3 linked regions of the Sus scrofa genome follow. The protein of the gene in region 1 interacts with the protein of each later gene in a pairwise test. Links are inferred from orthologs where the notes say so. Each region holds a gene or a part of one and is shown in the gene's direction. Other genes may lie near its edges. The genes, in order: MAB21L3, STAC3 and AGGF1.

The links.
Region 2: the proteins of MAB21L3 (region 1) and STAC3 interact in binary tests that used the Homo sapiens proteins (3 or more experiments, as listed by UniProt). The two-hybrid records come from large-scale screens. The link is inferred for Sus scrofa from reciprocal best matches to the Homo sapiens genes MAB21L3 and STAC3.
Region 3: the proteins of MAB21L3 (region 1) and AGGF1 interact in binary tests that used the Homo sapiens proteins (3 or more experiments, as listed by UniProt). The two-hybrid records come from large-scale screens. The link is inferred for Sus scrofa from reciprocal best matches to the Homo sapiens genes MAB21L3 and AGGF1.

The regions. Positions count from the first base shown.
Region 1 is NC_010446.5:104,648,533-104,652,285, reverse strand, and holds the start of MAB21L3 (protein mab-21-like 3), read left to right. Parts: upstream 1-998; 5' UTR 999-1,417; intron 1,418-3,753.
Region 2 is NC_010447.5:22,548,486-22,551,050, reverse strand, and holds the end of STAC3 (SH3 and cysteine-rich domain-containing protein 3), read left to right. Parts: intron 1-283; coding exon 284-350; intron 351-538; coding exon 539-588; intron 589-879; coding exon 880-965; intron 966-1,149; coding exon 1,150-1,201; intron 1,202-1,289; coding exon 1,290-1,427; intron 1,428-1,599; coding exon 1,600-1,698; 3' UTR 1,699-2,043; downstream 2,044-2,565. UniProt on the Homo sapiens protein: Required for normal excitation-contraction coupling in skeletal muscle and for normal muscle contraction in response to membrane depolarization. Required for normal Ca(2+) release from the sarcplasmic reticulum, which ultimately leads to muscle contraction.
Region 3 is NC_010444.4:85,889,129-85,892,881, forward strand, and holds the start of AGGF1 (angiogenic factor with G patch and FHA domains 1), read left to right. Parts: upstream 1-1,294; 5' UTR 1,295-1,700; coding exon 1,701-1,910; intron 1,911-3,753. UniProt on the Homo sapiens protein: Promotes angiogenesis and the proliferation of endothelial cells. Able to bind to endothelial cells and promote cell proliferation, suggesting that it may act in an autocrine fashion.

The DNA.
Region 1 (3,753 bases):
AGGGGGTTTAGCAAGATGTGAGCCTGCCCAGAGTCGTAAGGGGATTTAAGTACAACACGGATGGAAGTTCCTGGTGAAATGAGAGCCTCTGGGATCCAAGTTTGGGAAACTGGCTAGTGACAGAAATGGATTTTTCAACAAAAGAATTTCCCAAGGAGTGAGGTTTCCAGCTGAGACTTGAGAGTGTTTTCAAGGAAGTCTAAGTCACATAACTTCTAAGCCTCCCTCATCCTCTGCTTTTAATTACATCAATAATTAAAATTAACAGGCTAAAACCTGTTATCTCAGGAGAATAAGCTTGTCATTATCAGCAAAGGGACACATACTCATTTTCTCTTGCAAATACTCCTTCCCTTTATCAGATGAGCCATATTTCAAAGTCCAGTCCAAAGACCAGGCCTTCCCCACAGCCACCATTTTTTTTTTTTTCACATTCCTTGTTAAACTTCTTTATTTGTTACTTAATAACTTTTTTAGCTTTGGAGTAGTTCACAATATTCTCCAAAGGATAGTTTAAGTACCCTCTAAAGTCTTCACAGCATGAATTTAGTTTTAGAATCAGAGATTTTTTTTTTCTCTTTCTCATGTTCCTGTTCTTTACTATGAAATGTTAATAATACCATCTTTATTCTAAGTCCTTGTGCTGATTGCTAAGTAATGTGTATGTAAACCTCCAGTTGCCAAGTAGGAGGGCTTCAGTAATTTCCACTACCTAGAAATTGCCAAAGATTTTCTTTCTTTCTTCCTTTCTTTCTTTCCTTTCTTCCTTTCTTCCTTTCTTCCTTTCTTTCTTTCTCTTTTTAGGGCTGCACCGGAGGCATATGGAGGTTCCCAGGGTAGGGGTCTAATCGGAGCTGCAGCTGCCAGCCTGCGCCACAGCCACAGCAATGCCAGATCCGAGCTGCACCTGCAACCTACACCACAGCTCACGGCAACTTGGGATCCTTAACCCACTGAGTGAGGCCAGGGATGGAACCTGTGTCCTCATGGATCCTAGTCGGGTTCATTAACTGCTGAGCCATGAGAAGGGAACTCCAATACCCATAATTTTTAAAGGTTTTTTTTTTGTTTGTTTGTTTGTTTGTTTTTTTAATGTGAACTCTCCTAGTGCCATATTTTTATCCAGAAAATGGAATTGATATGGAATGTTTCACAAAAACACATTTTCAGTCTGCTCCAGTTTATGTGCCCCCTATTCATGTAATTGAAGAAATAAGACATTTATAAGACCACTTCCTTCTTCTTTATCGTCCTTGAAGCTCCCTCCCCCCTTTCCCCTCCCACTTTCCCGAGGAATCCTGGTTTGGGGAGGAGGCTGTAGGCTCCTGGTGGGAGGAGAGGAAGGACTATAAAATCCGTTTTCTCTCCCCCCTCGGACAACAGATCTTTCTTTCCCTTTTGGAACCAACTTGGAAGGGTAAGTGAGTTGGGGAGAGGTAGTTGATGGTGGGGTGGGGGGAGTCAGGAAAGGTGACTCCCCATTCTCCAGGCTGTAGGGGGAGAGGGTGATTCTTGAGACTTCCTTCTGGCTGTGGGTGTGCTCAGGAAGAGTGTGATCTGCCCAGAGCGTCATCTGTGTTTAATCATGGAAACCCAAGGAACGAACAGGAAGCAAATTCAATTCCACATTATGTAAACCACCCTTAAGGTTGATGGACAGGTCTCCTTGTTTTGAGGACAAACAAATATTACCAGGTTTCTATCTTAATTGCTCACATGGGTTCTACCCCTCGCCCTTTCCCCTTTCTGCTCTTAATACTCTCCCTGAGCAACCTCAGCGCCATCCACTCTGAATAGTGAATTTTATTATTTGTATATTACATCTTTTCCTGATTTTAAAAAGAGCAGTCTATTAATTGTTAGGGGAAAAAACAATGAAAAAAAGCTAACATGGAAAAAAAATTCGATGTACTCCCGCTACCCAGAGAAACCACTGTTTCTATTTTAACCTTTGCTCCATGTATGGACAGTGTTTGTGATCTGCTTTTTTCCATTTGTCAACAGTATCACAAACATTTTCCTGTTATGAAATATTCTTTTACTGTGTACTTTTTAAAGGCCGCAAAATCTTCCATCATATAGATGGGTTATAACTCGTGAGCCAGCGTCTAGTCATTTAGTTTCTGTCCATTTCTCCCTCTTATAAAAACGCACCCAGAGTTGGCCCATCCCTCCTGTTTCACTTAAATTTTAAGATGCAGACTCATTGGGTCAGGGGGCATGATTTTTTAAAATTTTGATGAAAATCGTCCTGTCCGTTTGCACTGCCATTGTTAACACATGAGGGCCATATTCCCCAGAGGCTCCTAAGCATTATCACCGTTTCCTAATATTTTGCTAAATTACCAACTTGGGGGCAGGGCGAGATGAAGGGAGTACCTCCTCATTCAATGTTCATGTTTTTGTAACTTAGAGATGAAATAGTGTTTACGTTTCTTAACCACTGGTATTTCCTCAATGGATTGTCTTCTTGGGTTTTCTGCTTATTTCTATATTGTGAAATTATGTTTTCTAATTTTGAAGGTTTGAGTTTTTATGTAGCTAAAGTTTTCAGGACCTTCAGCACATGTTCTTCATCTGTACACATTTAGATAAATGTTCATCCCTTTTTTTCTTCTGGTTCCTTTTGTGATTTATTTTTATATTGAACACCTTCATTTACTTGGAATTTATTTTGGAATATGAGGGGATATAGGGGCCTGGCTTTATTATTTTTTTCTCAATCTCTGCACATTTTTCTTTCTTCTCAGTCGTTCGTATTGTCCCCACAGATTAAAAATGCCATCTTTATCTCAGAGCCTGTAAGGATCCAGAGCTCACGCATGGTCAGGTTGTTTGGGCAGAAGAAGGGAAGTGGGTGGGAGGGATTGGGGCTTGAGAAGGCATTTAATAAGGAGACTTCCACTTTATAGGTAGATTGTGTCAAACACACGTTTTAAAAAAATCATCAGAAAAAAATGACATATTTTCATTCGTACAGTCTGGATGTATGGGCCTTAGAAGTGTTTTCTATATTTTTCTAGTGCTCTATAAAAAAATTTTACAAGAACTGTATATTCCCTGGAAGTTTAAAAAAACCACCAGTATGAGTTCCTGCTGTGGTACAGTGGATTAAGAATCTGACTGCAGTGGCTTGGGTCACTGTGGAGGTGCAGGTTCAATCCCTTGCCCTGGGCAGTGGGTTAAAGGATCCGGCATTGCCACAGCTGTGGTTCAAATCCAATCCCTGGCCCAGGAACTTCTATATGCCACAGGTGCAGCTGTTAAAAAAAAAAAAAATCTCTGGTAAATTGAGCCTGGCATCTTCTTAACAGTTTTTATCATTTCTTCTATAGGGGTTTCTCTTAAAATGTTCTGACTTCTTTTGGGTCAATTTTCCTCATTAATTTTTTTTTCTAGGATATCATCCACTTTTTTCAGATGTTGAATTCATTAGCATATGGTTTGGCAGAGTAATCTCTATCTATATCTTTCTGATCCTATTTTGTATATTGTAATTGTCTTCTTTTTTACTTGATGAGATTAGCTAAAGTGTCTGTGTTTCTCTTGCTTTTAATCATTTTTAAAGAATTTCCAAGCACTTAGAATTACTTTGTATATAATCATTATTTTTTGTTGTTGTTTTGCAATGGTCAAAAGATGCAGTAAGTATAATTTGTTTTAGAATATTTAAGATTCTCTGCCATGATTTTTCCACACTTTTTATGAGCACTTGATAAGACTGTTCTTGTCTCTATTTTATTTTTTGTATAT
Region 2 (2,565 bases), on another chromosome or scaffold:
GCTGCTCATATTTCTTTTACACATTGTAGTATTTTTAAAGGCAGACATGGATTTTGCAAGGTAGTGAGCGTCCTGTCAACTATATTGAAGCATGATGTGGGTGGCCAACTGCCCGGATGTTTCAGAGGAAGTCCCTGCATTTGGCAGATGGTTGACTAGATATTTCCCCTAAGGCTTCTTCCAACCCTAAGATACTATTCTGTAGTTCTCTGGCCTGACTGTAGAGTCAGAGCAAGCATGGGTTTCCAAGACAGCATCTTCCTAACTCTGGTGCCCCCTCCAGCCTCTAGCAGCTATGATGGAAGAGGAGCCAGAGTCTGCCAGACCAGAGGAAGGCAAACCCCAGGATGGTGAGTGACACCTGCCTCCATCCAGAGATGGAGGAGTGTTGAGGCTCAGCTGTGCCACAAGGGATTGGGGGCGGGGGGCGGGCAAAGGGCATCTCAGGTTTGAGAAAAGAGTCCCTGGAATAGAAGGATAAGAGATTGAGGGCTACCTCCAGGAGCCAGAGACAATTTGTTGGTGTTTCCCATTCCAGGAAACCCTGAAGGAGATAAGAAAGCTGAAAAGAAGACACCTGATGACAAAGTGAGAATCTGAGAATCTTTCTCCCTATGTGGACCCCAGTCCTCTCCCCAACCCAGGTCTGACACCACTCATGGCCTTAGCAGAAGCTCACATTTATTCCATGGGTTCCCAATCACCCTTAACCTGCCTTCTCCACCACCTCACACACGCAAACCAATAAATTCCTCTTAGTTCAGGGACATGGAGGAGAGTTGGAATGTAGTGTGTCTAGCAAATGCCCTTGTCTTGGCCTCCTGCCCCTCAGTGTGGGACAGAGGAGCTCTGAGACTCATCACCCCCTTTCACCCCCAGCACAAGCAGCCTGGCTTCCAGCAGTCTCATTACTTTGTGGCTCTCTATCGGTTCAAAGCCCTGGAGAAGGACGATCTGGATTTCCCGTGAGAGGCCTTAGGATCGGGGTGGGGTGTACTGGGAGTGGAGAGGGGAGAGCCCAGCTCCCTATGGGAAAGGAAAAGGGGGGATTCAGGGTTTGGAGCCTATTTGGGGCTGGACCTGGGCACAGCCAAGGGACTAGATGTATAAGGCCCCTAAATCTCAGAGGCTTCTTCCTTCCTCTCCCAGGCCTGGAGAGAAGATCACCGTCATTGATGACTCCAATGAGGAGTGGTGGCGGGTAAGAGAAGTGGCTGAGTCTCAGGTGGGACATGGGTTAAGTTAGGACTTGAGATTGTGAGATTGATTCTGCTTACCATGTCCTCTAGGGGAAGATAGGGGAGAAGGTTGGATTTTTCCCTCCAAATTTCATCATTCGGGTCCGGTCTGGAGAGCGAGTGCACCGTGTAACAAGATCCTTCGTGGGGAACCGCGAGATAGGGCAGATCACTCTCAAGAAGGACCAGGTAGCTCTGGTGCCCCAACTCAACCCCAGGCGCAGAGGCTTCTCTGCAAACCATCTTCTTTGCAGATCTTCACCCATTAATGGGACTAGATCGGGCCTCCAAAACTCAGAACTCCCCCCTCAGCTCTTCTGTTTTCTCTTGATTCCTCCCTTCTCATCCTTTCATCCTTTAGATTGTGGTGCAGAAAGGAGATGAAGCCGGCGGCTACGTCAAGGTCTACACCGGCCGCAAGATGGGGCTGTTCCCCACCGACTTTCTAGAGGAGATTTAGGCTTGCAGACGCCTGCTGGCGGGAGATACCCAAACCCCACTATGGGCAGGCCCAGTGGAGGTTGGGAAGAGAAGGGGCGAAAGCAACTTTACCGCTGGGTGGGGGAGAGGTGGGAAGGCCCGCCGGAACGTGACGGGGCTTCTGGGAAGGGACTGGTTCCCGCCCCCCTCCCCCTCGGAGGGCGTCGCAGACTTGGTGCCTGGAGCAGCCTCACCCGCAACCCCTCAAGCCCAGCCTTTGAGAGCTGGAAAAAGAAGGCATCTCCACTCGGAGGCGTCCCGAGGAGAGGGGGGTTGAGGCGAAGTGTCCAATGTTGCGAATTTATTAAAGTTTTGACAGAAGTTAGAAAAGTTTGCTGTTTAACTGGGAGCCGAGGGGAGAAAGGAGAGGGCCCACAAAGGGGCGGAGAATCTTCTCCAGCCGTCTCAGCTAATTACCATTGGGTAATTAGACCCGCCTGGGCTGAGGCTGGTGCGAGGTGGGGAGACGGGTGCGTCCGCCAGGCAAGGCCTCGGTCAGTGAAGAAAACGGTGCCGGACTGGTGTCACTGCTTCTGAGCCGCGAGGAGCAGGATCCTGTAGCAAGGTAGGTGCCCCCCTACTCTTAACGAGCGATTTAAGCCTCTGGCAGCCCCTTTCATTTCCGAACCTGGCGCAGTTCCGAGCTGGGCCGCCAGGGGGCGATACAAGATCTCGGTTGGAGTGCGAGGGACGGGAGGGGCGGGGGGAGAAGCGAGAACTGGAGACACCAAGCCAGAGACCCTGGGCCTGGGAGGGGGTGGGGTGCGTGCCGTCTCCATGGCAACACTTCCTCTTGTCCTCCGGGAACTGAGCGAGCGAGGCCGGGGGTCTAACCCCTCCTACGCGG
Region 3 (3,753 bases), on another chromosome or scaffold:
AGTGTAAGATTTAAAACCAAATACCACTTAGTGTAAAAGAATCTCACACACACAAAGCATAGGATGAGAACAGATTTATATTTAAGGACATATATGAGACACATGAGGGTGGGTGCCCATAGTGGCAGAAAGGAGCTAATGGGACTGGGGCTATGGAACAACACGAACACAAAACCCAAAATCAAAAAACAAAAACAGTAAAAGAGAAGAGCCATCCATGGGCTAATGTGTCTACTTGAGTGTAGAGTGCCTTGCTGAAGGGCTCTTAAAGCCTAAGATATAATGAGTGTAGGACATAGGAAGGGCAGGTCCCCGTTGGAGAGCTCACCACACACAGACTTAACTTGTGGGCAGTGCACAGGACAAAAAAGCACACAGAGCAGTCACTGAACGAGAGCATCAAACAGGATTCTTCTTTTCAGCACATATTTAAGGATACCTGCTCTGTGACAGGCCAGTGCTGGGCCCTGGGACAGGACCTCCAGAGGTCCCAGGCCCAGCAGTCCAAGTTCAGGCTCTGATTCTAAATGACCTTGGCTAAGGAAGGAAATGCGTTCCAAGGACAGGACCTCCGGAGGTCCCAGGCTCAGCAGTCCAAGCTCAGGCTCTGATTCTGAATAACCTTGGCTAAGGAAGGAAATGCGTTCCAAGGACAGGACCTCCAGAGGTCCCAGACTCAGCATTCCAAGCTCAGGCTCTGATTTTTAATGATCTTGGCTAAGGAAGGAAGTGCGTTCCAAAAAGCCCTCATCAGTTTAAAAGCCTGTGAACAAATACCAGTTTCATGGAGACAAAACACCAAGCAAAGAGACACACCGAAACAGATAAATTTTCTTTTCTGCTTTGACAGAATCGTGTTTATTTTTCTACCGGGAATGCTCCTCTTTTCAAGTCTGACCTATAAGAATTTGCTTTCTTTTCCTGGGGACCTAAACTCACGGAAGGCGCAGAATCAGTAAGTGACAGAGCATGAGAACACATCCTTCCAGTCTCGGTTTAACATTAATTCTATACACCTTGGCAAATCATTTCTTGGAGAGTCACTGTTCTCAACTGTAAAATGAGGAGCTAGGAAGTACACTCCGTGCCAAAAAGCTTGAAAACATTTTGAAAGTGGCAAAGGGTACAAAGCCTGAGGCCACAAGAGGAGCCAGCCATCTTCCCTTTATCTCTCCCGGGCAACAACAGAAGATTTCCTACCAGCTCTGCACAACACCTACAGCCCCGCCCCTCAACCGCGCAGACAGGAGAAGTGCGCATGTGCATCGTGAGGCCCTTCCCGTCTCCCGTCGCTTCCTTTCCCGTCTCGGCCCCGCCCACCGCCGGCACCATCGTTTCCGGCTCAGCCCAGAAACGGACGGATATCTCGGAAAGCTTCTGGCCTCGTTTTCTCTGGTCTTTCCTATCTCCGGCGTTTCTGCCGCTTATTCGGTCACTGGGGCAGGTTGTTACCAATAAAGTTTTACTTTTCAAAGCCGGGCGGATTGGGCCGTGCCCATTTCCGTCCCCTGGCTCGTTGCCCGCAGTGCCTCTTGGCTACAGATAACCTTTTGGGCGTCATGGACAGGGGCCGCCGCGGCCGGGTGGGTATGAGGCCGCCTTTCGCTGCTCGCGCGCTCCCGTGGCTCCTGGGCCAACCGGCGTCCGCCTCAGCCTGAGTGCAGCTCCTCCGCGCCCACGGGCCGTCTCGCGCCGGACCCATGGCCTCCGAGGCGCCGTCGCCTTCGTTGTCGCCGTCGCCGCCTCCCTCTCCCGAGCCAGAGCTGGCCCAGCTGAGGCGGAAGGTGGAGAAGTTGGAACGCGAGCTGCGGAGCTGCAAGCGGCAAGTGAGGGAGATCGAGAAGCTGTTGCATCACACAGAACGGCTGTACCAGAGCGCCGAGAGCAATAACCAGGAGCTCCGCACCCAGGTGCTCGATCCTTCTCCAGCCCCGCGCCCCATCCGGCCCAAGGCGAGGCCTTCAAAGTCTCCGATAGTCTCAGAAGGGCTCCTTGGCAGTGCTCAGGACTACTTTGTAGAGTATCCCAGAGAATGAAAAGTTTAGTGCGATTATAACTCCAAGTACATTTGGAACAAACATTTAAGAGTTCGGGTACTCGATTTAGACTAAGTGGGTGAGCTGCAATTACTTGAGACTTCATTCTCCCTTGTAAAGTCCCATTGGCAGCAGGCACATTTGTAATGTTTTCTTCTAGCCCACTTTTGGGTTTGTTAAAGGGCCGGATTTCAATCAGAATTCCATTTATTATTCACTAGATGCGTGAACTAATACTGATCCTCAGTAAATGAGAACGCTGGAACCATACTGGTGAAGGTTAAATCAGATAAAGCCTGAACAAACTGTTAACGGTTTTGCACAGTCTTGAAGGCCACATATGTGTGAGGTTGTTTTGGGCATTTATCTTGAGTTGTCTGGTGAAAGGGAAGATAAAACTGTCTTTGAGACACTAAGCTGCCAATTTCGTTTTCATAAAATACAATATGAACAAATACTTAGACCCACTTTTTTTCAAATTTTAAACAGGAGCCTAATATTTTTTCTAATTTGTTGATCAGTTGCACTTTTTCTCGACAAGTTATTTACACTTAATTATTAATTTCACGTGGGCTGTCGTCTTGTCCTTTGTACTCTACCGGTACATTTCCTAAAACCCCTTGTGTAGGCTGGACATACAAACGTCATCAGACTTTGTTATGCTCTGTTATCAAATAATCTATGAAAATAACCATGGAGTTGCAGTGACGTCCTGTGCCCATTGTGTAGAGTTGTTAACATGACATTATAGAAAATTTGTTTGTTTTTGCAACAGCTATTGAACACTTGCAATGCATGATGACTGGGCTAGGAGACTACAAAATATGGTTAAAATACCTGGGGAAAGGGATACTAAAAAGAATAGCCTTTATTTTTTATTTTGTTATTAAAGTGTAGTTGATTTACAATGTGGCAATTTCTGCTATAAGGATAACCTTTAAAAAAACTCGTTTATAATTGTATTTTTTAATGATTTTTATTTTTTCCATTAGTTAATTTACAGTGTTCTTTCAGTTTCTACTGTATAGCGAAGTGACCCATCATACGTATATGTTCTTCTCACATTATCCTCCATCATGTTCCATCACAAGTGACTAGATATAGTTCCCAGTGCTATACAGCAGGATATCATTGCTTATCTACTCCAAATACAATAGTTTACATCTATTAACCCCAAACTCCCAGTCCATCCCAATCCCTCCCCTTCCCCCTTGGCAACCACAAGTCTATTCTCCAGGTCCATGAGTTCCTTTTCTGTGGAAAGGTTCATTTGTGCTGTATATTAGATTCCAGGTATAAGTGATATCATGTGGTATTTGCCTTTCTCTTTCTGACCTACTACACTTAAGTATGAGAGTCTCTAGTTCCATTAATGTTGCTGCAAATGGCATTATTTTGTTCTTTTTATGGCTTGGTAGTATTCCACTGTGTATATATACCACATCTTCTTAATCCATTCATCTATCAATGGACATTTATGTTGTTTCCATGTCTTGGCTATTGTGAATAGTGCTGCAGTGGGTATAGGGGTGCATGTATCTTTTTGAATTAAAGTTTTGTCCAGATATTTGCCTGAGAGTGGGATTGCTGGTTCATATGGTAGTTCTGTATTTAGCTTTCTGAGGTACCTCCATACTGTTTTCCATAGTGGTTGTACCAGTTTACATTCCCACCAACAGTGTAGGAGTGTACCCTTTTCTCCATACCCTCTCCAGCA